Linked DNA regions of Daphnia pulex. The protein of the gene in region 3 binds, or shares a complex with, the protein of the main gene of each other region. Links are inferred from orthologs where the notes say so. Each region holds a gene or a part of one and is shown on either strand. Other genes may lie near its edges. The genes, in order: small nuclear ribonucleoprotein Sm D2, small nuclear ribonucleoprotein F, U4/U6 small nuclear ribonucleoprotein Prp3-like, small nuclear ribonucleoprotein Sm D1-like, U4/U6 small nuclear ribonucleoprotein Prp4-like, probable small nuclear ribonucleoprotein E and pre-mRNA-processing-splicing factor 8.

Region 1 (3,561 bases), on a different chromosome or scaffold from region 3:
AAGTATGGCTATGAAATTCCTGTAGATGTCTTGTGCAAACGTATTGCAGACATTTGCCAGGTTTACACCCAGAATGCTGAAATGCGTCCCCTTGGTTGCAGTAAGATTTCCTCAGTAATTCAAGTTGTAATGGAGTTTTATTTAATTTTTTCCTGTTTAGGTATGATTGTCATTGCATATGATGAAGAATTGGGGCCTGCTGTATACAAAGCTGACCCAGCAGGTATATATCTAAAATAGGGTGTAAAGTTCTCAAATTGTATGCTTTATTGCTGTTTTACTTTTTTTTCAAGGATATTACTGTGGTTATCGTGCTACTTCAGTGGGTGTTAAACAAACCGAGGCATCGTCGTATCTTGAGAAGAAATACAAAAAGAAACAAAACTACACACATGATGAAGTTATCCAGCTTGCTATTACAACTCTGTCTCATATCCTAACTGCTGATTTCAAGCCATCTGATATTGAAATTGGAGTTGTTTCTAAGGATCAACCAGGATTTAGGTAAGAAAATGCGCAAAATATTTAAGTTTAGGAAATTAATGTGACTGATCTGATTGTTATAGAATTCTGTCGGAAACTGACATCGATAAGCATCTGACTGCAATTGCCGAAAAAGATTAAGTTTGATTTTGTAACTTTTTCTTTCAACATTGGAATAAAACGAGATAATAAAACACATTTTCCGCTGTTCGATTTTTTTATTTCATACAAAAGTGAGAGATAAACACATACAATTATTTTGCTCCAGGAGTACCAGCCAAAGGATTTCTTAATACTAATATTACAGAATCTCCACGTAGGAACATTTTGGAGATAAAACGGTCCTTGTTGACTGGTTTGCTCTATAAAATAAATATACAACTGTCACTGTTGATAGATGAATGAATGAATGCAGAAATAGTGAAAATTACCTTCTTCTTTCCTTTCCCTGTTCTGGGAACTTCAGTCCACATTTCCTTGACATTTTCTAGAACCATATTGCAGTGACGGTCAAAAGCTTTAACACGTCCCAGTAGCTTTTTGTTGTTACGGCAGTTGATCAAGACCTGAGTGTTGTTTTTTACACTCTGAGTCAAAACTGAAAGTGGTCCAGTGTTGAATTCTTCTTCTTCCCGTTTGGCCAATTCCTCCGGTGTCATCTCCGACTTGGGTTTATTTGCAACAGCCCTATGGAAAGAAACATTTATTATTTAGTGCTCATACGAAACTGTCAAGTAGAGAAAAATCTGCAGACACGGAACACTGTAACTAGCTGAAAATATAGATTTAAAAATTTTCTATTTTGAAATTGAACTTAAGCTTTACTTACGCCATGATAAATAGAAGGATGTAAACGGATAGAGAAATATTCTTTGGAATATTTTTGAGCCCGGCTTCGTTTAACTTTTCAAACCGTTATTCACTTGTTTTTCGTAAACAAAACGTACATGCTGCGTTGTCATATTGTATTAATTAGCATTAGACGGTTGATGCTATTTTATGTCTTATTTGCGATTTAATTGCCAAAAATTGTTTTTTAATGTTGACTTACATTTTTAAGAGACACGTTTCAATTTCTAATAATTGTTGTGAAAAGAAAAGAATGAAATTTGCCAAGAAAAACATTTACAATCCCAGACGTCAGACGTCTGGGACTCTGTACTGGAATTCGTTTTAGTCGAGAGGAAAGGAAATACAAACCTCAGAAAGTAGAGTCAAGAGAAAACCGAAGCGGTTGACAATTGTCAGCCGACAGATGTTATGTTATGTAGCATAGCTTGTCTAATGCCATATATGGACATATTCCCCCCGTATGCACAGACTATTCTTTCTCATGGTCCCCAATGGAGAACGCTTTCCAGCGTTGTTGATAAGTCATCCTGAAACGGCGAAAACTTTCGAATCACGCTGTTATCGGCTGTTCATTGTGCGAAGGCGATCTATGGCAATTGAAACTTTTTGGTCTAAATTATAGAAACAGAGAAAGTTGTCGACACCGGTCCCGAGAGTTTCAGATTTTTAATACATAGGGGAGGGGAGGGCAGATTAGAGGGAGGGGAAGTAAAAATGTGAGTCATCGATGTCTGCCCATAAAAGGTCATCCTCCCCGAGAAACTGAATGAAAGAATAAGTGTGCAACTGGCCCAATAATTTTTTTTTTTCGTTAAAACACTCATGCGAGATGCACACCATTTATTAGGAAGTCGGAATGATCATTTAGAGTCGGCAACTTTTTGCTCAAGCAGAAAAATCTGCGAGTAGAGGATTTTACAGAAAAAGTTACTTTTCGTAACTCTCTCCAGGTTTGTGGTTTGGGCTCCCCTTTTTCGGGTTAACAAGCGCCCGATATGGACAACCAATCAGAGAATGTGCAACCAGTACACACAAAATTCTCTACAATCGGCATCATCCTTCAATCGCTAAGCAAGCAGAGACCCCTGGCGGTTACCCGAATTCATTTAACGACATTTGAGATTTTACATAACAGCAAACAGAATAAGAGTCATACAAATTATTTTTAAAATGATAAATGATGCGCCTATCATTATATGTTTTATTTGTGATAAATTAGTGAAGTTTGTAATATGGTTCGAAATAGGCATCGTTTGACGGCGCTGTATTCCACCCCCAGATGACGCGCTTTTCTGGGTGTGGACTGGGTAGCGCCAAGTTTTCTCAAGTTTGGGGAACAGCCGCCATTTTGCAGTGCGAGGTCCCGGCCGGTGTAGAGAAGTCTACTCTGAGTTTCCCCTCTTCTTTCGCCGCGCCACGAGTAAAATCTTATCGAGGGCATTTTCTCTCTCTCTCTCTCACTCGCACCACTCACTCCCCCCAGTGCCGTCTCATCCCGCAGTCATTCGGGTTGATCTTTCAGTTTAGGCGTCTTTGAGCTTTGCGTGAAATTTTTCTAGACTTTTTTCTTAGTCCAAAATGGTGAGTAACGTTGATATTGTCATGTCGTTAGAAATGTGTTTGCTGTATACGTGTGGAATTCTTCCAATTTCTGTCCCAAAGTCCTCGATTCAGGGAGAAAAGTTCTATCCTTGTGTGTGCTTAACTGACGAACGCGGCAAGGCTTGGCGGGGGGCCGGCTTCCCATTCTGAATTTAGCTCACCTCGGTTGAAAATTTCGTCTAAGCTCACATCTCTATGCATAGGTTGCGAAATTCCCTAACATATTCTTCAACTTTAGCCACCAATTTTTTGTGTCACAATGTCTGAGTTAGAGTTAAGTGCATTTACCGGCTATGCGTGGTGTCATGTTCTCCAAAGATCTCTTTGTAGTAATGGACTTCCGTTCCACTAGTTTTTCACTCATTTGGGGTACAGTAATGCATACCTTACGTGTGTGTAATCTTTTTTATTTCCTGCTGATGCAAGTAACTCTTGCGAGGTTTGTTGACTTGTACTGGTTAGGCATTGGCAAGTCGTACGATAACGTCACCTTTTCGGCGACTAGACCTTGGAACAGTAAGATGAGATACACGAGAAAGAGTCTTATCATTTTCTCTCACTTCCGGTTTTACGAGACCATAATTATAGTAACTTCCTTCCTTGTTGAGCCTCGTTTCATCGCTG
Region 2 (3,291 bases), on a different chromosome or scaffold from region 3:
ATAAAATCATTAGGCGTGGCTTTGAAACTGAATCGCAATCACGAGGAAAAACCAAGAAGTTGACTGACCTCATCACCTGCGCCTGCTTAAATGTGATCCTGACAGTAACGTTTTAATCTTCGTTGTCTAGTTAGGAACGTACATTTGTACAATGTTTATTATTTGTTTCAAACCGTAGTAATTCATCTCGGAGTTCAACAGCCTATAACTCCCCTAACGTTCAAACGACAGTGATAACTTGCGCATGCTTACCGTCCTATAGTGTTAACAGCCGTGTTACATGCAGGCCAATTGAAACGTATTGAACAATTAATATTCATAAGCAATTAGGTATTCTTATGACATCAGCTGGTACCAGCGTGAGCCAATCGGAAAAGGTGTTTCCGGATTTGTTTGCCTTTTTGATTTATACCTTACAAAATATATTTACGAACAAGTTGGTGTAAGTGGAAAAGAAATGTGACTTGAGTTTTACGAGCATGCGGGACTGCGGGCTGCCTACTAACTTCATTCATAAGGTAGCTTAACCATTTTCCATTTAGACAAAGCCTTTATTTTCCGACTAAATGGAAAAAATCGCCGGAACGTAAGAAATTCCAGTATACTTAACATTAAATCACCAATACGGTAGACAACGGTTCTGTGTTTGGAATTTGGATACTGAAAAGCTGTTTTTTTACTTGTTTGTCCTTCGTTGTCTGTGGGAATCTTGTAATGTATACACCAGAACATATTTTTTAGGGTTTCCAGGTTTCCTATACAATAACTTCTATGAGATAGATAGGAAATGACATTATGTATTAAAGGATGAAAAATTCAATACAAACAGCAATCAATCTCTCATTTCTCCCTCCTCATCATCTTCTTCCACTCCACGTATGTAAAGTACATTGTTGCACCTGACAAGAACTTCACCCAAGTTTCCAGTACAGCTTCCATCAATATATTCTTCTGTGTTTGCCAACTGTGATAATATAAGAAGAATTATTGCCATTGTTCATATATGCACACTGTTTCGTGCAACAGCATGTTTTCATTTTTTTACTGATGAAAATGCACTACATGGTATAATTATTACAGTACCTGAAGATTCATGTATCCATCAACTGAAACGAGATAACCTTTGTATTCATGGCCCCACTTCAGTTTTACCATAATCGGTTTGCCGGTTAAGGCATTGAGAAAGGGTTTGGGATTGATGGGCATGGGTGCCTGAAAATATGAAATATAACATGTTAGTAAATGGTCGGCTAAAAAGGACCACCCAACAAGATTTAGGTTTTGAACTTACTGCCATGATTTGTATTTGTTTTAGTCAACGATTTTACAAAATTTGATTGAATGTTTGACAAGCGAGTCAAGCCGCGTTATTTCAGTTTACACGTTCTGTAACGTAAAGATCAGAAGTAAGGGTTGCCAAGTCGTCTTATTAAGTACATCAAATTTTGAGAAAGTTTTTCCATTTTGTAGGAAAGAAATTTACATATTTAAACCTAATAACTAGTGAACTAAAATTACCTTATAAAATAGGATTATTTAAATAATTTTTTGATGTAATGTAATGAGATATCCATCGTAGAGCAACGATCCCGGATCTCTGGTTCCGGACCAAAAACTCACGTCACCTATTCTGTTTTCAATCATAATAGCTGGAAAAATTTACAACCAAAGGAGAATTTTTTTTTATGTATCGTTATTAAGTGATTTTGTTTAATAAGTGACTCGTGGTCGTGGATATGAAAAGTCTTTTTAACAAATTGGCAAGAACAGAGAAGCTTCACAACCAGAATTAGCGCTCTCTAAAAAGTAATAAAAGAGGGTTTTGCGTTTCGCGGAATTAAAAAGATAGGAATTTATCACAGTTTGTCTTGATACAGAAAGACTTTTTAGGTTCAATTTTACATTTTGGAAGCTTTTAAACGGTCAACAAACCGGTTTCTTATTTCACTCCGGTGTCCATTCCGCGCAATTTCCTTTATTATCGGTTACCGAGTGTAAAATCTGGCAGTAAAGCTTGTACGGTGTATGCAGCAGAGGCTGAAAGCAGTGCACAGCTGGAATTTGCCGTTATATACGTGGACACACAACAAGTTGCTCAGTTGCTGACACTAAACTCTATCTTACCATTCTTTCATCTTTTTGCACTTTTTTTAAAGTTGACGTCACTTTCCAACCGATTGTTTTTCTTCCATTTCCTCACTGGGTTCCATCATTGGACCAAATAAACGAACAATCGTTCCACTGTTAAGACGATTTGTTGATTTTAGTCTGCCATGGACATTTTTTGAAAACAAAAGCTGACTTGTCTTTTTCAGCAATATTGAAATAAGATGTTTGGTGAGTAAATAACTCTCCCTTTTCCATTGCTCAGAAGTTTGTGTTGATTTTGAGTTGGTTGTTGGTAGTCACAAGCTTGACAGTTAGTTTCGTGAATGGTTAAAGAAATTCAATTGTAATTGAATTTGGTACTCTCTCATTTTCAGGGACGGTATGGATTTTGATTCACCGGGTACCACCTACATTTTTCCTGATGTGATGCAACCCCCAATAGAGCTTGAAACTGTCAACCCCCTGCCAAGCAGGGGTTGGCCGGGTGGAGTTAAGGGACATGTTCGCTCTGCAAGTCATGGTGTCATCGGAGTTTCCTTATTGAATCCAACATTACATCCACAGCCCTCTTCGCCATCCCCTGCAATTGGATTATTGGAGGCAGCTTCAGGATTGAATAAAGGGGAAAGATCTTCACAAGATGCTTCTTCTGCCAATCCAACAGTTTTAAAACTTCCTTATACAGGTATTTTTAAGGTTTCAGCACTCTTGATTTCTTTAGCAAGAAGACTTGTAATTCCTGTTATCTTAATTAAATATTTTGTTCATTTCATTGATAAAACCTTCTTGGTATTTCCACCATGCATTTGATTTACCATAGCTATTCCAAAACTATTTTGATTTACTTAATTCCTCATAATCACATTTAATTTGTTTACTAATAGGAATTCTACGCCAGGGCCATACTAGAGCATTATCTCAAGGTCAGATTCCTAATCAGCAAGTCCAACCTACTAAAGGACACAGTCGGACTGGTTCTCGGACGGATTTCCTCCTGCCCCCTGGCCACCAGGATCGAACAACCAGTGGTGCAGTCCATGGTACTAGACACAAAAGACAGGTTTCCCGAACCCTGTCAAACGATGTCTTCACTAAGGGCCATTCACGGCAAGCTTCTAGGACGGAATCAATTTACACGATTCGACAGACCCGAATCCCATGGGTTAACCGATTTCTTTTCTG
Region 3 (5,087 bases):
CCATTCTATTTTCGAAGGAATGGCGATAGGATTGCAGCCAACTCTGAAGGACATTTGGTTCCTATTTGCAGCCGTTACAGTTCACGAGCTGGCAATCATGTTTTGTATCGGGATGGAGATGTTGGCCTCCCACATTCGTGTAGGCATTTACATTGCCTACATGGTCACACTGGGTCTTATCACTCCTATCGGAGTGGCCATTGGAATATTCGTCACGGAATATTTTCAAGATCCTACGCCGTCTCACACGTTAACCATCGGCATCCTTCAAGGAGTCGCAGCCGGAACTCTCCTTTACGTCACATTTCTCGAAGTGTTGGAACGCGAGCGAAGGAAATCCGGCAATGGATTAATTAAGCTTTTATCCGTTTTCGTCGGCTTTGTCCTCCTGTCATCACTTGAAGCCTTGGGCGGTTAGTTTCCTCCTTTTAAAAAAATTCTAAATTCAATTTCGCTGAAAAGGAAACTATTAAAAAATCTGTTAGAAATGACAATCACGAACTAGTCTAATAAATACCACCTTTTTCCTTATGCTGCGTCATAGGTCACGGAGAACCAACAACAGATCACCAAACACAAACAACTGTCGGATTATCGTTTGTTTTGCAACCCGTCACGACACCACGTTACACCTTCTATTCACCGAGTGCCTGAAAAGCTGCCCAGCGTCAAAGGATATATTCTGTCATGTTCCTGCGAAGACCTGTATAACATTCCCCGTTTTTGTACACAAAAAAAGAAAAAAAAAAGAAATAAAGACAAATCTTTTTATTGATGGTAATATTCAAAGATGAACGTTTGGTTCAAAAATGAAAAGAAAAAAATAAAGAGTTAAAGTTGATGGCAGAATGAAACCGATCACTTTTCTTCAGTTTCTTCCAGCACTGCTGTGGAATAAGACAGGTCCCAGTAGTGTTCGACGCCGTGTTTGCGAAAATGTTCTCGAGCCACAACCTCCGATGGGCAAAGTTTGAAGATGAGGTCACCAAAATTGCGTTGTTTGGTCGTGCCTTCCCAAACGAGCTGGCAGGAATTCCGCGTTTCGGGCTGGGAGGATGAACCAGTGTCGTGTTTGCTAACCTTGACGGCGTCCTCTTCCCACCGAATGCGATTGAGCATCAAGCGTTTGTACTTCTTCTGCTGTTTAGGGCCTCCTTCGACTATAACGACGTTAACGTCCTTGAAAATGACTGCGCATCCCGTCATGTAAAGCTGCTTGGCATTGGTCTCGATTTTGAATTTCTTGGATAAATTGGACAAATCCTTGATCCGGTAAATCGCCACATGCACACCGCTCGTTGTCGTGTCTTCTTGGAGCTTTTTCTCCTTCTTTTCGCGTCGCTGGTCAGCCGTCAACTTTCGAGAGGCATTTGCCTCCTGGTGATTTTGAAGTCGTTTGGCCATTTGCTCGCGGACGTGAGCTTCAATTTTGGTTGGATCCTGGATGGCTTCGTTGCCCAACACGCGCATCAAATTAGAAATTCGAACTTTTGCTTGAGGTGGCGGTTCCAGTCCCAAACGGATATTTTCTTGTTTCTCCTTCCAATTTTCACGTCGAGTGGTGCGGCGCAACTTCTTGCGCTCTTTCTCGGTGAGAAAGACGGGCAAATAGGGCAAGGCCAGCGGGTCGGTGGGAGCACGCATTTGGATGGGATGTTCGATTAAATTGGTAATCGTCTCCTGGCGTAAATTGGGCTGTCCGTCTTCGCCTTCGTAGCTTCGTGTTTGCAAGATGACCGAGTCCCACCATTCCAAATCAATGTCCTCCTCCTCCTGACGATCGCCAACTCGTGGGGCAACTAGAGCAAGTGCAGTGACTGAATTGATGCCAGTCTTACGGGCAATTTGAGAGATTTCGCTTTGCAATTTGTCTAACTGAGCCTTCATTCGCATTCGAGATGCCACTTGCTGAAATTTGCCCTGCTCGTGAAAGTGGAAGGTTCTGCGTGTTCTCACGGAGGATTTGGCTGCAACACGTGGATCGAAGAAGCGACTTTCCGTCAAATTTCCCGCTTCCTCGCTTTGTTGTTGAGATCCTTTGCCCATGTGAGTCTTGAGCACCTCGCGTTTTTTGGCACGAATGTTTGCCTTGAGAGTTGGTGTGTATTGGGCCAAGGCAATCTCTTTACCAGTCGCATCAACTGTCCTTCCATCAGCGTTGAGAATAAGTGGGCCAGGTTTCGGCTCATTATTAGACCCTTCCCCTGTTGATGCAGGGACACTGGCTGTTTTAGGAAGACTCAAGTTCAATGTGGCTAAAGTGGAGGTGGCTAGTTTTGACTGAATTTGAGCCTGTAGTTCAGCAATCTTTCTGGCACGCTCATCCATTGAAGATGGGGGAACGGCTTTAGGAGCTACAGGTGTTGGAAGTGATGAGAGCACTGGGGTAGTCTTGAGAAGAGCTGGCGGTTGATTGAGAGATCGTTTCCTTTCCTCAATCATCTTTTGAGCATTCATCATCATTTCTCTAATCTGAGAAGAAGAGAGTTGTTCAGTAGTATCCTGGTCACTCTTTCCATCTCCATTGCTGTCATCCTGGAATCGTGATTTTAACTTTTTTGCTTCTCGACCAGGTCCATCGAGTGAATCTTCTTCTTTAGGTCTTTTTATGCTTGTAGTAGCCATGATTGGAAATACCCCAAAAAACCTATATCACAGATGCCTAAAAAAAAAGAAAGAAAAGTTGTTGTTTACTGAAGAGAAACATTCTGCTACAATGTTATTATAGTGACAATTTTCAACGTACTGAAAATATCTTCTAACAATGTTTAATCTATGACAAATGACGAATGTATTGTGAAATAAAATCATCGGTTTATTGAAGAAAAAACAAAATTATTCTTACCAATGCTTCAATCTTCCACTGTAGTTCGTAACTGCAGGTCTAAACTTGCTCTGTTTAGAGACCGGTTAACAACCGATAAGAGCCTATTGATGCACAGAAAAATCGTAGAAATTCAGATGATAAACTCAAAACGCTGTACAAATATATAATTTCAAACTATATGTTTTTTTGAGTATGCTCAAAGTGAATGTGTAATTACACTATTTTGGGGGAAAATTTGTACGTTTTTATACGTTTTTGGTTACCCAAGCAACGCGAAGACGCCATCTAGAGGAATCTTAAGGAAGTACTGGGACTTTCGTAAAAAGAAAAAGAAGAAGCAAGCGCTCAAGTTCAAAGCATTTTTGTTTCTCATTTTTGGTTCCAAGGACAAGGAGATATAAATTTAGAAAGAAATCAAAACTAAACAAAAACCTATTTTTTTTCTCTGAAACAGTTTCTACGTTAAGTTTCTATGGTGAGTAATCGTAATGCGAATTGTTTTAATTGTTCTTTCTGTGTTTAAGACGAAAAGCAACTTTGTATTTTAAACACGTCATCAAATTTTTGTTTTAGTCTAGAGAACAGAATAATTTTGGTCATAATTTTTTTTTCAAAAGCATTTCACTGGTTGTATTAAATCGTATCATACATAAAAAAATTGTCATTAAAATGGTAATACTGTTTCCAATGTGCCGAAAACAGAAGTATCGGTAAACATCGAAGGAATTTCTTTGTACTCCAAGGAAATATCACCATTTGCAAGGCATGTATTATTTCCATTTTGTCGTCATCCGTCGGTTTCTTCTTTCTCTGTATGATGATGAAAAAAGTGCCTGAAAATCAAAGGGTAAGCAATCCTAAGTTAACTCTTGTCTTAGGTCGGGCTCAATTCCAAAGTGCCGGAGTCCAACAGATCTCTTTAAAATAAACGGGTCCTGACAAGGCAAGTCCACAGCGATTCACCACGACGGTTGTAGACAAAGGAGAAGCGGTTGCTGTTTCCAGCATATCCTCCAGATCCTGTCACCTATCAATCCACAATGCATCCATCCAAATCCATTCCAATGAAATCCAAATCCAATGCAATCCAAATCCCACAACAATCCCATCCAGAGAGAGCAATAACCTTGCTGTGTACGCTACAAATAGAAAGGGGAAGAAAATGAGAATCATGTTTATTCGACGCACAGCTATTTTGTGTATTACAAGAGGGAGGGGAAAAAGGAAAGGATGAGGTTGCTCACGGAAAAAAAAAAATTAGTTGGTTGGAATCGGGGAGCTCTGAGGGTATTCGAAACCAAAAAGGATTACGTGTACGTCGAGAAGAAACTGAATGATTAGTAGCAATAATTGCAAATGCCAAAATCATAACCCAAGAAACATATTTTGAGTTTCTCATAAAAAATTGAAATCTTTGATGTAGCTTGTTGTAAAAAAAAAAAAAATTGGTTTTTGCAATTTAAAAGATTTGCTATTCATCTAAGAATTTTGAAAATATAGTATGAACCATGGAGACAATACCAAAGACCCCTTTCCTCCTCCAGTCCTTCCAATCCTTAAGCTTTTTGTTGTCCACATCGCACAACTTTTGTCTTTTTGTTTAGTTTTGCCTTTTTCTCGTTTCCATAACTTTTTTAAGATCGTGATCTGGAACGAGGTGAGCGTGAGCGCGAACGGGAATATGAACCACCACGACGAACGGGGGAATAGCTGGGGGAGCCGCGACTTCCACGTGTTTTGCCGCCACCACCGGCTGGAGAATAAGATCGCGATCGATCACGAGTTCCGCCGCTGCGACCTATAGAAGAAAAAATTCAAGGTCAATATTTACTTTAAACAAAAATTGAAATATAACTTACCGTCTCCGCTATCTTCCTTAACGCGCACATATGATACTTCTCCCTGTAAACGTACGAATAATTTTGAAAACTTTGTTTATCAAGATTTGTAGAAAATATACCTCATGTGAACGGAATCTTGAGTCATCTAATTTCTTGATGGCGTATTTCATATCCTCGTAGCGAAGGAATTCAACCATTCCAGTTCCATCTTTATAGGTATCAGCATAACACACATCACCAGCTTCTCTCATGTGATCTTTTAAATCTTGCCATGATCCAGTAGGAGGAAGACCTGTGAATATCAAAAGTGGCTTTAAATGATGGTTTAAAACTTTACTAAATGTTTAACTCACCAGTTACAATGACTCTGTAATTTGTTCTTCTTGCTGGTGGCCCTCGACTCCTGCCTCCACCATTGC
Region 4 (3,817 bases), on a different chromosome or scaffold from region 3:
TTATAGAAATGAAGTGCACATGCACAAAAAAAAAAAACACTTGTTTGACATCGTCTAACGATAGCCAATTATATTCTCATAGTGGTCCAAATATACAGTTACGAAAACTCTCAAATTAACATTAGCTGATTTAAGCATAAAACGTGTAGCTAAAGTTTGCTACCATTGCCCTGCAATAATTTCAGTTAAAAAAATTTACATACGATTCTTAATGGAAGAGCTTCACGGAATGATAAACAATTCTCAACGTTGAATGTGGATACGTTCAACACGTGCACTATTTTAACACAAATCTTTGTCTTATCAAGCTGGCCCTCTCTTTGACGACTAGAAAATCAAACCTTGGTTTGAATTACATCACTATTGTTTTTTACGCTTCAGATTTTGAGTTTTTGTTACGAATATTCCAAATGGCCTTGCAGTAAGGACTTAAGTCTTAAGGTTGTTTTCAATTTTAATTTCTAATAGTTTGTTAACATAAACCTGTGCTCGAAACAGAAACATTGCTAGTTTCATTTTGTATCTTGGCGGGAAAACGAGGAAAATGCAAATTTTGCATTTCATTCTATGTATGAATAATAGAAAATTAGGAGCAGATATCGCCGAAAGCCTCTTAAACGCAAATACCTCTTAAACTGAAGTTACAAAAGCAAATAAAACTTGTAGCCACGACTGTTCTTAAACATGTCAAGTTTTCCTTAAATTTGCGACATTCTTAATTTAAATTAAAGTTTAATGGTTTAGTCACAAAAAATTGAATAGTTTTAGTCTAAATTTAATAGAAAAGTAATTTAACTTTCATTTCCATCAAACTTTCATTACTTATTACACCGCTCTTTACACTTGTTTTTTCCCCGACTCCTCTGACAAAATGGCAAGAATAGTCAATATTCTTGAAATAAGCAAGGAAACGTTATGCGATGTCCGCTTATAAATCAAGAAAAGGAATTGACGGTTCTCTACAAATTATCTATGCTTACATGGGAGTCAATTGGAATTGATAAATAATTCTCATACAGACTCAACTGTGGGGAAAAAAGTGTTTGTTTTAAGGACTTTTCAACTGACCAAAAAACATATAAGACAATGACAATTTGTAATGCAAATGAAAACTGATTCCACATTTGCTGAAAAGAACGAAAAAAAAAATGGAAAATCGTTGGAAATTACAAATTTCAGCGTCGAGGACCAGTAGCACCACGTCCACGTCCTCGTCCACGTCCTCCTCTGACAGCTCCGCGTCCACGGCCTCTTCCACGAGCTAAAAAAAGAAAAGAAAATGAAAAGAGGAACACAGTGATAAGGGGAAAAAAGTTTACCTCTACCGCTAGCATCCTTCTTCTTGGCCTTGGCTTTCGGAGAATCATCCAATAGTAAGGTTTCAAGAGGAAGTGAATCAGGTAAAATGTAGTACCGGATGTTGTTTCCTCTAATACTCAAAGTTTCAAGCTGAACAGGGTCTCTGTTTTTAACTGTCATTTTCACAGCTTTTAAATGAGTGTTCATAGCAACATCAACTCCTATAAAACATAATCAAATGAATGAATTTAGTAATATACAAAACGGAAAACTTTTCTTCTAAAATGTCACTTATGTGTTTGCAATTTCACTAAGTTTTCGAAGAAAGTATTTAAGGATTGCAGTAAAATAAAAAATCGAATAAAGACAACAAAATTGAATTACCTGTTATTGTTCCATGAACCTGAGTACCATTTTTTAATTCAATAATGACTGTTTCGTGGCTCAGTTTCATCAAAAACCTAAGGATTATACAAAATAATGGTATTTATTTCAATTGAAAGCAGTGAACTATTTAAGTTGTGAAATATAGAAACGGCATAGTTTCCCAGACGCATCCAACAACCGGCTTAATACCCAGACCAAACCGATTTTTGTGGCTACTTTCTGTACGAATTTACTTGACAATGAACATATTCCGAAACTTACCTCACTAATTTCATTTTTGATAAACTTGTTGTTTGATGGCTGTAATAAAGTAAATCACCATATACGACTTATTGAATGTTTTAATCCTTAGTTTAGTGAAACGCACGAGGTACGCTAGTCAAAAACCAAAACTGCTTGTTGGAAGCATAACTTATACTAAAAAGGCCCTGTGACATTTCATATTTCATAACGGTCGATGACTATGATTTTTGTACTTGTAACGTAGCGCCATCTACGCAAATATTTTGAATTTTGTTATTAGACAAGGTTTATTTTTGCATATTTTAATCAAAAATTAACTAATAATAATTTTTTTTTATTATTTTAAATTTATTTATCAAAATAAATTCATAAATCCAGAAGCATTATCGAAGCGTATCATAGAACCGCATAGAACACAAGTGGCATGACATGAGTGACAATAAAACGTACTCCAAAACAGAAAACACATGAGACAGGCCTGCATACTATAACAGCATTTCCAGTAAGCTAAACATTGGGTTTCGGTTTCACCTATTTTCGATTTTTTAAAAATAATTCTTTGTCGGTAACGCATTCTCAATTTCCCGCGTGGTTTTAATTTTTCCCTCTCAAAATGTCTCGAATCGGACCAACATTACCTCCTCATCTTCAAACAGCGTATGAAAATGATGATTCAGATTCTGATGAAGGTGATCTCTACGGACCAGCACTTCCCGCTCATTTAAAATCACAGAAAGTGTCCAGCAAGTTAGTGCAATCAAATATCTCCAATGACAGAGGATGCTCTGTTAATCATGAAGTTGACTCTTCATCAGATGATGAAGTTATTGGACCACTGCCAGCTGATTGTATGGATGCTGAACATAGTTCATCAGTTGACATTGAACAGCGGGCTCTTAAGATGAAGAGGAAGTTGCTTGGTGTGGATGATGATGAAGCCAACAAGCAACCAAAAAGAGAAGATTGGATGATTGAGCTTCCAGAACTGAAAAGGAAAAACTTTGGCCTGGGACCTCGTGTCTTTAATCGTTCTGACAAACCTGAGGTTGTAGGGAGAGATCAATGGACTTCAACACCAACTTCCAAGGTTCAGATAGTACAATAGATACACATATAATGAAATTTTCTTAGCTGGTCATTGCTAATTTCTATAATTTAATTAATATAATTTTAGCAGCCTAGTACATCCAAAGAAAAAGATGAGGATTTTGAAGCTGAAATGAGGAAACAATACTTGGAACAAAAAAGGAATAAGAAGCTTGAGAAAATTGTGGCCATGCATGATAAATCCAAGAAGAGGTCAGAGAGTTTGTTGAAGACACATCAAAAGGAAATGAAAAGCAAGGTAATCCTACATTTTTATTTTTGCTGTTAAAGTTGGGGTAATTTGAAGTAAGATTTTTGTTTCTATAGAAAGACAACTCGTCCGGTCCTAAAGAAAGAAAACCTTTTGATCGTGATGAAGATTTAAAACTGAATCAACTCGATAATGCAAAGCGGAAATCCTTAATTAAGAAGTCCCAAGAATTAAATTCAAAGTTCAAAATTGGGAATCAAAAGTACCTTTAAATAAAGTGTAATTTCATAGCTTCAAACCTTGGTTCAAAATATGGTTCAGGTGATAACGTTTTTCCAAATTTTGACTATAAGTTGAAATTTGTTGATATCATGGTGAGCTGCAGCTCTAATTATAAATATTTGTCTATTGAACGACTTACATATTTGCTATTGTGGCCACACAAAACTTTTTCTTTTCCAACCTCTTTTTTCCGTTAGAAGAAATACATACTATTCCTACGACAAATTCAAAGCATTTAGCACAGGACAGGGACGTTAATTTTCAGATTATATCGACCACGCGATGTTTGCTTTACAATTTTCCGATAGA
Region 5 (4,485 bases), on a different chromosome or scaffold from region 3:
AAAACTGGCAAAGTTGATGAATGCAAAGCCTTTTGAATTCCCTGTTGTAGGATCCCTCATGATCTGCATTCAAAAAAACAAAATAGTAAAATTTAAAACCCCAACAATGATTTCAAATTTACCTTTGGTGTCTGAAGAATTACGCCAAATGCTGAAAATGTGTCATACTAAAAAAGCAATAATAGATTAAATTGTGTTTTGAACCTAAAGGAATGCTGATTGGTTACCAAAAGTTTTTCATCAACTTCAGGATCTAAGTTTCCAATGAAAATATTTGCTCCAACATCTAAGTTTTTCTGGTGTGCTGATGCTTTGTTTACCCGAATGGGTTTACCATACAGCTTTATCATGTTCATAATTTTACATGCGTAGTCAGCATCATCTTCACTGAGGAATTCTATGAATCCGTATCCTTGATGCAGTAAAGTAATCCGATCTTTAGGCATATGCACATTTACTACAGGACCACCTTGAACGAACAACTCCCACAGCAAGGGCTCCGTAACTTTTTCGTCTAACCCACCAACATAAATGGTAGCATCTGAAAATGATAAAAATTTCACATAGTCATTTCATTTTAGTGCATAATAAACTTAAATTTCTTACCTTGATTTCTTTCTGAAACAGGTCCAGCAGCCATGCTGAAAGTAACCAAATAGTTTCCACCTGAAATTTGCAAACTTCCAAAATATAAAATGCTTGTTTGAGTGTGTCTGCCTTGTATTATTGAAGGCCGGTCAAGCGATCAGTTTTCCTATGCCAGTGCTTTTGACTAACCAAGCTCCAACTAGATGACGCCCGGAGCTAAAGACCGGCCCACACACTCAATAGCGGCAAGGGCGGAAGGATCCGACAGGTTTTCAAATCTTAGTCTGTGTGGTGTCTTGTGTCTCTTTGCAAATTGCCAAATTCCAATAAATAATGCCGTGTTTAAGCATGTATAATTATATCCGGAAATCCTACGAAATACTAAGAATATAAAATTTCTGTATCTAAAGCGTTAATAGAATACATCCTTTATTCCTTTCCCTCTCATACAGATCTTTATTAAGAACAATTCTTTGTAGTTATTATACAGTTTTCTAAAATTAGATGCATAAAATGGATAACCAAATTTTGAACTGACAATCTGATATTTCAAACATCATTTTTGGTTATGTCCCTATACTAGGCCTAGTATACTCCCTAATGTTTCCGTACACCAAATTGGCCTGTTACACAGTCTGTTACACAGTCTGCTGCATGTGTAATCGATCGCATATCAGGCATTTTATGCTATTAACAACTGTATGCTGAGCTGAACCTCAATTTTATAGGTTGCAACAAAATCATTTTTGGAAAAAAATCCCAGATGGGCATGTGCTGCACTATGAGTGCGAATAATTTTTTTCTAATCGAAATCACAAATTGGTAATATAAACCGAAGATTCAGTATTCAGGTATTATTCAGACTGGCTGTTTTGTATATTAGGTAGTGTAATAAATCACACATCATAATTTAAAATTTCTTTTGCGAGCGGCAGTTTATTATCCGAAGAATGAGTACATGGAACATAGTTTTCCAGTTTTCCACCAGTGGCTCTGTATGCTGCACATGATTTTTTCATACCGTAAGTCGCTTTTCGTTTGGGAGTCGTCTGGCTTGTAAAAGTCTATTTAAGATTTAAGAACGATCGTATTGACAACAAAAACGTGACAAAACGAGGTGTCGGTGTCTATAATATTTAAACATTGAGATCAAAACAGGAAAAGTTCAATTAGAAAACACATTTCTTTAAACATGTCGTCCACAACCGGTTTCGCTATCACAATTGACGATGGGGAAATTCGGAAACATCTTAGGCAATTAGGTGAACCAATAACCCTTTTTGGTGAAGGACCTGCTGATCGCCGAAATAGATTAAAAGAGTTACTCTCGGTTCATGGACATGATTTGATCGATAGAAAAAAAGAAGATGAAAAAGAAATTGTGAAGGTTGAGAAAGATCAAACTGAAACCACTTGGTATCATGAAGGTCCTGAATCACTCAAAATTGCTCGTTTGTGGTTAGCATATTATTCCCTCCCCAGAGCAAAACAAAGGTTATCTAATGTGAAACTTGAATCTGAAATACCAGAATCAACAAGAACAGCCAAAAGGTCTGAAATATGCTCTGTTATGAAAGCACATCCCAATTAATATATTTTTTCTTTTCCAGGCAGGAAATGGTGAAACGGATGAGAGGTATGAACATCATGTGCAGCCAAGTTGGTGATGGAAGACCAATATCATATTGCCAATTCAGCCCAAGTGGAAATTTGTTGGCCACTGCCTCCTGGTATTAAATATTCTGAGATTGTAAGAGAGTTAATCAGATAATAAAAAACAATTCATGTTTTAGGAGTGGCCTGTGTAAATTGTGGAATGTACCTGACTGCACTTTGTCTCATTCATTGAGAGGCCACAAGTGTAGTGTTGGAGCAATAGTCTTCCATCCACAAGCCACCTTGAGCTTAGAACCTTCAGAATTAAATATGGCTTCATGTTCCATGGACGGCGCAGTCAAATTGTGGAATTTAGAAAGTGAAGAGCCGATTGCTGATATGGAAGGACATGCTCCGCATCGAGTGTCAAAAGTTGAATTTCATCCTTCTGGAAGATTTTTAGCTACATGTGTTTTTGATAATTCCTGGAGGCTATGGGATCTAGAACAGGGTGTAGAAGTTCTTCATCAAGAAGGGCATTCCAAACCTGTATACAACATAGCATTCAATGTTGATGGTTCAGTGGCTATCACAGGGTACCAACACCTAAAAATATGTTAACATAATATTTTAATTACATGTGGAATTTTTTCTAGTGGCATGGACTCTTTTGGTCGAGTATGGGACCTCAGAACTGGGCGCTGCATCATGTTTATGGAAGGTCATTTAAAAGGTGTCTTGGGCATCGATATATCACCTAATGGCTACCACATAGTAACTGGAAGTGAAGACAATACCTGTAAAATATGGGATTTACGTAAGAGATCCTGTATCTATACTATTCCTGCACACACAAATTTAGTGTCGAGCGTGAAATTCGAAAGAAGTTCCGGACAGTATATTGTCTCATCTTCATATGACTGTACCGCAAAGGTATGAATAATCATTAATAGATTTTCTTTCTGCATTCTTTAAATGTTACATTTGTCATCTATATATATTTGAAATAATTTTCTGCCCTAGATATGGGCGAGTAACACTTGGCAACCATTGAAAACCCTTTCGGGACATGACGGAAAAGTAAATTTTTTAATCAGATACGTTTGTGATGTGTTTCTCAATTTTTTTATTTTATTGTTACAGGTTATGGCAGTTGATGTATCGCCTGACGGGTCGTTCATCGCCACAGCCTCGTACGATCGCACTTACAAGCTTTGGTCCCCTGAATAAATGTAGAAGTATAGAGTGCAGCTTCGAAGACGACCATGCTTGTTTGATTTCTTTATTTGTGTATTGGACTTCGAAAACATTAATAAATTAAATACAAAAAAGTTGAAGCCTATTGGTTGGGAAGATTGGGTGGAGTATTAAAAACTTACTTTCCCTCGTACTTTGTAAAATCCGAATTGACTGTAGTTGTGTACTAATGCTGGAAGCCCTAAATACGAATTCATTATAATTGGCTTGTATTCAACTAAACCCTGGTACTCGTTTTGCAAAGTTCGCTGTAGGTTGACTGTAAAATCTTTAACGTCGAATATAGCAGGAGTCGTGTGTTCAGCTAAAATTCATAGGTAAAAATAAGAGTTAACATCCATCGAATAATGATTAACAGAATTGCAATCTTTTTACTTGAAAGTAGTGGATGCGATAAAAACGTTAACCAGGGAATTGCCTTGCTCCATGGATTCCATAACTGGGTAAAATTGGGTTCTGCCGGCACGGACCCAAACAAAATTCGGACGCCGTTTCTTTTCAATCTAATTCCAAAGCAAGAACTTTCTTGAAAACTTTTGTTCGACATTTCTACATTATAACGTATCAATGTGTCATGTCTGATTTAGTTATGTTACCTGTCGGAAGTGAAGTCAGTTTGAGTTTCTTCACCTGTTGAACGTTTATGTAATAGCTCCGATGCCGATTGACTATTAAAGTTACCTCGTAGAATAGACGAGAATCGTCCTGTTATAGAATCTGCGAGGTATTGGAATTTCCTAAAGTATATTCATATAAAAATACGACAAAAGCTAAATTAATTTTCAATCATCCGATATAAGTAGACACTAAAATCTTATCTCATTTTTACACAGAGAAACATTTACTTGCAATCCACATGATTGTGACAAATTTCAGTTGATTGGTAACCAATGCCCATCAATCTGAAGAAAAAAAAAATTTGAACGGAAAAAACTTACGGTGTGATTGAGTGTGTTGGGTATTCAATATTCCCAATAGTAAGGTGAATAATTTTCTGGAGTGCATAGGTCTCGAAGCTTTGAAGAGTCGTGGTGATGAAGTCGT
Region 6 (3,422 bases), on a different chromosome or scaffold from region 3:
GTATGGACTTTGCCGCGTCAAAAGCTGCCCCGACATTGTGGATCAAATGAACCAAGATGGTCTACTACCGACCAACATCCATTTGGAATTGGAACTGAATAAAACTAACGGTAAAACTAGCGACAGCCAGCAACAGACTTTGGTCTTGTTGAGAGTGGCCAGCAGCAGATCACGCCGCGATAGTCAAACGCAACGCTATTCATGCGGAGCCCTGGATGGCAAAGTCTTGGTTACGTCGAATAATAATAACAACAGCAAAATAATAAAAGATTCGTCGTCCAACCCGTCACCCTCGCCTTCGGGCTGCGGTTCTAGACACAATAGCAATTCCAGTTTGAATTGCAACAGCTTCTCTGTTATCGAAGTGTCATAATAAATTGATAATTATGTATGTGTAATTATTTTAAACACTACTTTATTTTTAGGGTCTGAAATTTTGCTAGTTTTCACTCTTTGCTATGTTGTACACCCCCCACCTAACAGGCTGATATCATTGATACTTTTATTGATTTTATACTTGTACCTTCTATTTTAAGTGGTTACACAATGTTGTGCAATAGGTTATTTTTATTATTGTAGTCCACATGAAATGACTTGTTTTCAAAACATGATTATTCTTGTCATTGTGTAAATTATTCTCTTGCCGGAGACATTTTTCATGTGTAAAAGTGGCTAGGCTTCATCAAAATAAATATTGGAAAATATTACTAGGGAAATTTATATAAAACTAAAAAATAATAAATAGATGTTGAGAATGAAATATTCAAGTGTGGTTGTAGCATCATGTTTTTCTTATCAGTCAGCACATCAAGATTGGATGTACACAAAATCAGTTCCCCGTTAATCAAAGGTAATACACGACAGAACACAAATTGGGAATGCATTCTGACCAATTAATATAGGAAGATTAGTCGTCTCCACTTCCTGCAGCATTTTGGATTAGAGTAATGTTGTCACCTTTCAGCAACACCCGTCCTAAAATAAAACAGCATTTAGAAGACAGAATAATTGTGAGTAAATGAAAACGTCATTACCAATCTGTTTTCTGACATTTGTTTTGACGTAGACTTCCTCTGCATCATCGAGAACAATGTTCATGTACTCATCAAATCCAACAATGTGTCCTTCCATGTGCATGTTGATGTTCTCATAAAGCCAAATGTCTACTCTTGATCTTGTCTGAAGGTATCTGAAAATCAAGTTCTGGAAAAAGACATTTTTGACACACGTGCCGGTTAATAAATCTTCGTGCTGAAATCGAAGTGATAGTGGTGAAAACTTACGATGGGTTGAACCATCACTTTCTGGACTTTAGGTGCTCGGGCTGCCATTTATCTTGAATTGATATTTAATTGATTCCACACGGGAAAATTATCAAATTTCTAAATGAGAGTTGTTTGAGTTTACACTTTTTGTTGAAGAAGAAACGAACACAGACGCTCAATTGCCAACAACGTTGCCAGATATTTATTTCCTCGTAGGGATTTTCCGATATTTTTCAAAAAGACAAGGGCGGCAAAGGCAAGCAGGCAAAGCAGCCAAGCAGCCAAGCCAGAGTAACAGAATATTACTTTTTTTATGCTGGCATCCCGTTCCGGTTTGCGAGGTTCCCGTAGGAAATAATATCAATTAAAAATTTAAAAAAGCAAAAGTAAAGTAAACATGAAATTCAAAATTAATTACATGAATCTATCGGTATGGTGAATGGGAGGGGGGACGGGCTTCGCCTGCCACCCCCGCCCCCCCCCTCTTGCTTCGTTAATCGCTTAAATTACTGTTATACTTTTACATTAAATAGTATCAATCAAACAAGGCCTATCGGAACATCAAAAAATATCTGTGAATCATAAGGGGTGCGACTTAGGTGTGGCGGAGGCTTCGCCCCGCCACCCCACGTCGCACTCTCTTTTTAGCTTAAGTAACAGCAAAATTTATTATTTTCATAAGCAATATGAAATAAAAAATAATTAGTTATAGTTACAGATAAATCTGTAAACAGTTAGAACAAACCAAACCACAACACCCACCCTCTCTTACGCTTCGTTTAAGTTATTTCGATATTTTTACTTGAAATCGTATACTAATAAAAAATAATACATATCGAAATCAATTAAAACATATCGAAACATTCAAAAGTTATGTCAAACATTCAAACATTGGGGTGTGACTTAGGTGTGTGCTGTGGCGGAGGCTCTAGGCCGCCTAGAGCCTAGATAGATGCCAGTTAACTTTTACTTTTGGTCGCTAGAGCCTAGATGCCAGTTTCTACGCGCGCAGTTCAAACTGTTTTTCATTTTCGAGGCGCGCAGTTCAAACCGTTTTCCAATTTCTACGCGCGCAGTTCAAAATTCCAAAAAGCCATCTATTGGCGAAATTTGAACTAATCCTCCCGTATGCCAAAAAACCTGTAGAATTAATATATTTTTCTATTACTCTGCTGACTGGGCCTGTGGGCTGTGGCCTTGTGGCGTGTGGCCGTTCTGCGCCGATCTGCCGTTCCTTTCCTTACAACAACTGATGCTTGCTGCTTGGAAAAATTCACAGAATCACAGCTAATACTGCTAATACTTTTCATTTAATGTCAACTTTTGGGCTGTTCTCGCCTTGGGATCCACAATGAGTTTCGCTGTTCTGTTCGTGGAATAATTTTTTTAAAAAGAAGATAAGGACATATTCATACGAGGGGTCGAGGGCATTCTCTGACGTAACTATAAAACATACGGTTTTAATTTGCCAAGTGTGTCACTGTGTCACATCTCACCTACAGTATTTAATTCAAAATTGGTAAAAGTCAATTTTCAAATTTTACGTTGGCATGAAAAATGAGAAAGAAAAGAAAGTCTATTTACATTTAAATTGGCATCGCCGCTTCTTCTCACAAATGTTCGTCTGCAGTGCAAAATTGAAATTGAAACTCGTCAAGTCTCGTCAAGTCTCGTCAAGTTACTGAAATTAGGAAGTAGTTAATTAGGGCGCAGTCTTCTCTGTGGGTCTGCCAACTCAGTTCACAGTGTTGTTCAAACCATTTGATTATAGTGAGAGTGAGATTGACGTCGACGTAATCAGAGGAAGTTATCCTGGCAATAGTCTTGGCACTTGGCACCAGATGAAGAAAACACACCACCGACATATTGACAAGGACAATACCAAACGAAATTCATCAAGGTGGAGGCAACAGGTAAGAACTTTTTTATTATATGCTGCGAATTGTCGACGAGTACACATGTTCCAATAGTGGATGCATTAGCAATAATTTAATTAACCAACACGACCTGATTGAAATTGAAATTGTATTTTATCATGTTGGTCTCTCGTTTTTAAGCGACAGTTGCTATTCTTTGTAATCATTTTCATACCGAGCGAATATCCATTTTATATATTTTTTTAAATTCGTATTTTCTAAATTAAAACCGAAAAAGTGA
Region 7 (4,039 bases), on a different chromosome or scaffold from region 3:
TCAGGACACCAGTCGGCGACGGATAGATGGACATGTTGTCTGTCGTGTAGTCGAGGAATTTAGCACGAGAATAACGTTCAATGTCGTGGGAATCGTAATCGCCCCAACGCAGCTGGACATCAATCCAGTATTTTTGTGTGGTGGTATTGTCCATGACATCACGAGAGTCAGCCAAAAGGGATGGCCGAGAAACGTTCCACTTGTACCTGAAAAAACAAAATGAAGAACATGTAACAAATATTACAACAAGGAAAACACAAGACAGAAAAATAAGTTCCACTTACGAGGCGAAGAGAAGGATGTCGGCGCAGGAAGAGTTCATCTTGTAAGATTTACGGGGATGAATAGTTTCTTTCTGCACAGTTTCAATCTCCAAAGCGTCAAGTTCCTGATCGAAAACTTGACAAAGATCCATCACGACGGATTCGTGGATCTTCTGCCACAAATGGGCACGGAAAATTTGAATCAAGGAAATCTTCAACGTCGGGATTTTGCCGTGCATGAAAATGCCAGTCAAATCGAGTTGGACCTGGAAACCAACGTAGACGTTGGCTCGGTTGATGGTTGGCGACCACCACAGAGTGAACCGACGGTTGGGAATTTGATTCAAACCGGAACGCTGGGCATTAGTCAACTTCTTGTACTTCATCGACTCTTCGAAACCGGACGCCTTCTCCCAAAAGAGACCTTCCCAGGTGGGGAAATAGGTTCCCTTGAAGAGCGTGTGCTCAAGGATACCTTCAACTCCTCCCAAGGCTTGGATCATGTCGGTACGATAGTTGTTCAGGTTCCAAAGTTTGCCGTCGTGACGCTGATGAGTCCACCAGAAGGGATTCTGCTTCAGCACCTGGTACTGTTTGAATTCTGTGCGCACACGCCATCCTTTGTCGTAAGCCAAAGTGTGTCGATCCTTCTGGAAAAGGGTGTTGATACGAGGAATACCACGATCCCAGCTGTCTTCCAAGTCTTCAAGGGTCAAGCGACGGTTCTGTGCAGAGGCTTCTTGACGTTTGAGTGCATATTCAGCCCAGACTCGCTGGGAATCGATAAACTCGGCTTCCCACGGTTGGATGTAACGATACAAATTGGGGATGAGCTGATCTTCGTCGTGCGACATACCCGATCGGAAATGGGTTATGCCGACGTCCGTTTGCTTGGACCAACGCAAATCAGACTGAGGGATGAGCACGTGACCCATGGACAACATTCCAAGACCGCCCAACTCCTTGGGGGTGTAGAATACGACGGGAGGGAAACGCGAAGGCATTTTTGAATTCAAGCCGATCTTGATACGAGTCTGGATTTTGTTCTCGCACTTCACCAGCAAGTCCAGCAATTCCTGGGTATTGACAACCGATTCGCGGAAGTAGGTCATGAGACCAATCAGCGCCGTGTTCCATTTGTTGACGATCTTCGTGAAAGTGGTGGACCCGGAAGCCATCAAAATTTGACGGACACGGTTGTGGAACTTTTGCAGCGACTCGTCATCGACGCGCAAGAAACATTGGGCCGTTCGCTCTTTGGTGATCTCATTCTGCAAGTTCCAAACACCATCGCGATGCGTAAACTCTTCATGTGTCATACGGCACTTGGGTAAGATGCGGCACTCGAATCCAGCCATGTTGAAGAGCAAGTTGGGGTTATCCTTGGAGTAGACGCTGACAAAGCTACCCTCCCACTGAATGGTGGAAACGGAACGCGGCAACCTGTTCTTGATGTCCCAGAAAACGGCACGGCCAAGATTGACGTCGTGCTTCATGAGGCGCATTCGAGCGTCACGCGGCCAACACTTTTTGTTGTTGTAACCCACAATGTTCTCGTTGTTGGGGTCAGGGTGCTCGGTCAGGTAACGTTGGATCAGGTCGCGAGCCTCTTCAGCCGTGAAGCGGAAATACATGTGGACGCGATCGACGTAGCGCGAATAGAGCCGAATGGGATGAGCGACTTCGGTGGCCACATCTTGAAAAATGAGGAAATCGTTGGGCATCTGCGGCGGACCCGCCATCTCCGATGCACGTTGGAGACCCAGGACGAGGAGATCAAGTACCAGACCAAAGTACTGGGCCACGAAAGAGGCGAACTGAAGACCACGGATGATACCGTACGAGTTTGTATGGTTCATGTCTTTGTAATTGATGACGACGTTGTTCTTGGCTGTCATGTAATCGGCGATGTTGTGATCCACGATGAGACGCAGAAGACGATTGAGCAATGTTAAATCGATCTTTTCGTACAGCTTTTCGAATTTCGTCTCCAGCATAACGTTACATTCGCCATCCGATGTTTCCCAGACATCCTGCAGAAAAGAATAATCTTTATTGTTTGGTCACGATATATCAAATTCTTAAGTTAAGTTAGATTTGAATCAGTGAGTGCGTTGTCCCGCCCAAGTCGTCTAGCAAACGGCCAGCACCAACTCGGGCGTCCGTCCAACACCAGCGGACGGCTTCATGACCCCTGCACAACTCATCATTTCTCCGCCCAATAAACCTTAAAAACTGAACATTTGTAAAATGGACGAGCAAATTTACCTGCAGATTGTTAATGCCCTGGCACCACTTGTAAACTAGCAATGGAGGTGGCTCAGCATCAGCCGGTTTGATCCAGGGTGGGAACAAACGACGCTTGTCGGCTTCATACCACAAGTACTGATCCAGATAAGCGTCCGTGATCTTCTCTAGCGGTTCGACATCGTAGACAGGTACCAAGTGGCTGTAAAGATCCATGAACTCGATACCGACTTCTTTGAAGGCTCGCTGCGTCAACAAGTGACGCTTGATACGCGACAAGGCTTCGTGCGGGTTGTCGTAAGCTTGTTCGATCAAACCGAGCTCTTCACGTTGACTCTGGTTGAGACGCGATTTGACGCTGTAGGCTTCCTTAAGTCGCTCCAACGCCAAGATGAGCAGTTTAGTATCGTGCTTGTAAGACAGCGGAGGGAACTGAATTGGAGCAAAGCGACGCGATTCCAGCCAATGGACAGTGGTGGTGTAGATAGCAACAGCTTCTTCGGGCGAAATGTAAGGACCGTCTTTCAAGTAGTTGTGCTGACGCTCCTGTTCAGCCTTGAGGTAAAGACGGGTCAGACGTCCCAAATTCTTCTTGCACACTGTTTTGTCGACAGTTGCACCACGACGAATACGTTCACGATTGTAATGAGCCGTATTAGTCCACCAGTCAGCCTTCATCTTGACGTATCGAAGAATCATATTCTCGATGGGCGTTGGTAATCCAGGGACCTAACATGATTAAAAGAAAAGAACATTTAAACTATTGAAAACGTAAGTATCAAATGTCAGTTAAAATAATTAAAGATTAAGATCTAGATTTCAATCAGTGAGTGCGTTGTCCCGTCTAGGTCGTCTAGCAAACGGCCAGCACCAACCTAGACGTCCGTCCAACACCAGCGGACGGTTTCATGACCCCTGCACAACTCATCATTTTTGGCTTGACCGTCCCTAGAAAAGTGAAATTACATCTAATGAAAATTAAAAGTTGATCTCACCTTCCAGGGAATGTTGGCTTTCCAGCATCTCCAGGCCTCAGACAAGTGTTGCAAGATGGTACGAGCTTTATTCTGCTTGATACCTTCAGGCATCATATCGAGGATGTCGTGCATGACAGAAGCTCGAAGTTCCAAATCGAAATGGGATTCGACACGCTGCTTGGTGACAGTCTTGGCGATACCTTTTGAGTGACGGCCTTCGAATTGACGCGACAACAAGTTGCCCAACCATCGTTCAAGCAATGGGGTAATACCACGCAAGAAAAAGAGCCAAACGCGCCATCCGGGAGCCCAAATACCGCAGCCGGGACCCTTTCCTACTGGGCCAGTGTTGAAGCGGTAGTAGATAAGATGTTTAAGATCCTTGCACATTCGGATCTGCCTCATCAACTTGTACTTGTAACGGTACATGCCAGTCAATTGACCAACGTGAGCAAAAATATACTGAAGACCATCAGCCAATTGGAAAGCATCGACGTTGTTGAGACGATACTGGACATGGGAGTCGATGATCAGCTTCGTCAAACGCAGGAT

The links.
Region 1: U4/U6 small nuclear ribonucleoprotein Prp3-like (region 3) and small nuclear ribonucleoprotein Sm D2 share a complex: the UniProt entries of both Homo sapiens proteins name them as parts of the U4/U6-U5 tri-snRNP complex. The link is inferred for Daphnia pulex from reciprocal best matches to the Homo sapiens genes PRPF3 and SNRPD2.
Region 2: U4/U6 small nuclear ribonucleoprotein Prp3-like (region 3) and small nuclear ribonucleoprotein F share a complex: the UniProt entries of both Homo sapiens proteins name them as parts of the U4/U6-U5 tri-snRNP complex. The link is inferred for Daphnia pulex from reciprocal best matches to the Homo sapiens genes PRPF3 and SNRPF.
Region 4: U4/U6 small nuclear ribonucleoprotein Prp3-like (region 3) and small nuclear ribonucleoprotein Sm D1-like share a complex: the UniProt entries of both Homo sapiens proteins name them as parts of the U4/U6-U5 tri-snRNP complex. The link is inferred for Daphnia pulex from reciprocal best matches to the Homo sapiens genes PRPF3 and SNRPD1.
Region 5: U4/U6 small nuclear ribonucleoprotein Prp3-like (region 3) and U4/U6 small nuclear ribonucleoprotein Prp4-like share a complex: the UniProt entries of both Homo sapiens proteins name them as parts of the precatalytic spliceosome. The link is inferred for Daphnia pulex from reciprocal best matches to the Homo sapiens genes PRPF3 and PRPF4.
Region 6: U4/U6 small nuclear ribonucleoprotein Prp3-like (region 3) and probable small nuclear ribonucleoprotein E share a complex: the UniProt entries of both Homo sapiens proteins name them as parts of the U4/U6-U5 tri-snRNP complex. The link is inferred for Daphnia pulex from reciprocal best matches to the Homo sapiens genes PRPF3 and SNRPE.
Region 7: U4/U6 small nuclear ribonucleoprotein Prp3-like (region 3) and pre-mRNA-processing-splicing factor 8 share a complex: the UniProt entries of both Homo sapiens proteins name them as parts of the U4/U6-U5 tri-snRNP complex. The link is inferred for Daphnia pulex from reciprocal best matches to the Homo sapiens genes PRPF3 and PRPF8.

Annotation. Positions count from the first base shown.
Region 1 is NC_060018.1:304,602-308,162, reverse strand, and holds small nuclear ribonucleoprotein Sm D2, read right to left. Parts: upstream 1,706-3,561; 5' UTR 1,535-1,705; intron 1,466-1,534; exon of another isoform or gene 1,434-1,465; 5' UTR 1,318-1,433; coding exon 1,313-1,317; intron 1,171-1,312; coding exon 915-1,170; intron 846-914; coding exon 738-845; 3' UTR 682-737; downstream 1-681. Other genes in the region: proteasome subunit alpha type-6-like, read left to right, coding at 1-100, 161-223, 294-504, 567-624; cofilin/actin-depolymerizing factor homolog, read left to right, coding at 2,914-2,916. UniProt on the Homo sapiens protein: Plays a role in pre-mRNA splicing as a core component of the spliceosomal U1, U2, U4 and U5 small nuclear ribonucleoproteins (snRNPs), the building blocks of the spliceosome.
Region 2 is NC_060019.1:9,593,190-9,596,480, reverse strand, and holds small nuclear ribonucleoprotein F, read right to left. Parts: upstream 1,439-3,291; 5' UTR 1,298-1,438; coding exon 1,292-1,297; intron 1,213-1,291; coding exon 1,084-1,212; intron 965-1,083; coding exon 833-964; 3' UTR 824-832; exon of another isoform or gene 782-823; intron 770-781; 3' UTR 588-769; downstream 1-587. Other genes in the region: phospholipid-transporting ATPase VD-like, read left to right, coding at 2,491-2,794, 2,994-3,291. UniProt on the Homo sapiens protein: Plays a role in pre-mRNA splicing as a core component of the spliceosomal U1, U2, U4 and U5 small nuclear ribonucleoproteins (snRNPs), the building blocks of the spliceosome.
Region 3 is NC_060024.1:10,558,261-10,563,347, forward strand, and holds U4/U6 small nuclear ribonucleoprotein Prp3-like, read right to left. Parts: upstream 3,110-5,087; 5' UTR 3,091-3,109; exon of another isoform or gene 3,045-3,090; intron 2,929-3,044; 5' UTR 2,846-2,928; intron 2,663-2,845; 5' UTR 2,626-2,662; coding exon 859-2,625; 3' UTR 754-858; downstream 1-753. Other genes in the region: zinc transporter ZIP3-like, read left to right, coding at 1-413, 545-654; serine/arginine-rich splicing factor 1-like, read right to left, coding at 4,462-4,625, 4,687-4,729, 4,788-4,960, 5,022-5,087. UniProt on the Homo sapiens protein: Plays a role in pre-mRNA splicing as component of the U4/U6-U5 tri-snRNP complex that is involved in spliceosome assembly, and as component of the precatalytic spliceosome (spliceosome B complex).
Region 4 is NC_060020.1:8,496,033-8,499,849, forward strand, and holds small nuclear ribonucleoprotein Sm D1-like, read right to left. Parts: upstream 2,111-3,817; 5' UTR 1,962-2,110; coding exon 1,948-1,961; intron 1,761-1,947; coding exon 1,684-1,760; intron 1,521-1,683; coding exon 1,320-1,520; intron 1,262-1,319; coding exon 1,176-1,261; 3' UTR 1,080-1,175; downstream 1-1,079. Other genes in the region: GPALPP motifs-containing protein 1-like, read left to right, coding at 2,543-3,016, 3,104-3,274, 3,343-3,498. UniProt on the Homo sapiens protein: Plays a role in pre-mRNA splicing as a core component of the spliceosomal U1, U2, U4 and U5 small nuclear ribonucleoproteins (snRNPs), the building blocks of the spliceosome.
Region 5 is NC_060018.1:6,530,543-6,535,027, forward strand, and holds U4/U6 small nuclear ribonucleoprotein Prp4-like, read left to right. Parts: upstream 1-1,640; 5' UTR 1,641-1,780; coding exon 1,781-2,139; intron 2,140-2,198; coding exon 2,199-2,318; intron 2,319-2,381; coding exon 2,382-2,780; intron 2,781-2,840; coding exon 2,841-3,117; intron 3,118-3,207; coding exon 3,208-3,264; intron 3,265-3,327; coding exon 3,328-3,414; 3' UTR 3,415-3,526; downstream 3,527-4,485. Other genes in the region: splicing factor 3B subunit 4-like, read right to left, coding at 1-63, 123-167, 228-541, 607-640; tumor protein p63-regulated gene 1-like protein, read right to left, coding at 3,552-3,745, 3,817-3,944, 4,038-4,178, 4,380-4,485. UniProt on the Homo sapiens protein: Plays a role in pre-mRNA splicing as component of the U4/U6-U5 tri-snRNP complex that is involved in spliceosome assembly, and as component of the precatalytic spliceosome (spliceosome B complex).
Region 6 is NC_060026.1:14,103,651-14,107,072, forward strand, and holds probable small nuclear ribonucleoprotein E, read right to left. Parts: upstream 1,457-3,422; 5' UTR 1,332-1,456; coding exon 1,284-1,331; intron 1,204-1,283; coding exon 1,035-1,203; intron 976-1,034; coding exon 908-975; 3' UTR 769-907; downstream 1-768. Other genes in the region: serine-rich adhesin for platelets-like, read left to right, coding at 1-373. UniProt on the Homo sapiens protein: Plays a role in pre-mRNA splicing as a core component of the spliceosomal U1, U2, U4 and U5 small nuclear ribonucleoproteins (snRNPs), the building blocks of the spliceosome.
Region 7 is NC_060027.1:2,053,243-2,057,281, reverse strand, and holds part of pre-mRNA-processing-splicing factor 8, read right to left. Parts: coding exon 3,506-4,039; intron 3,240-3,505; coding exon 2,532-3,239; intron 2,297-2,531; coding exon 285-2,296; intron 207-284; coding exon 1-206. UniProt on the Homo sapiens protein: Plays a role in pre-mRNA splicing as core component of precatalytic, catalytic and postcatalytic spliceosomal complexes, both of the predominant U2-type spliceosome and the minor U12-type spliceosome.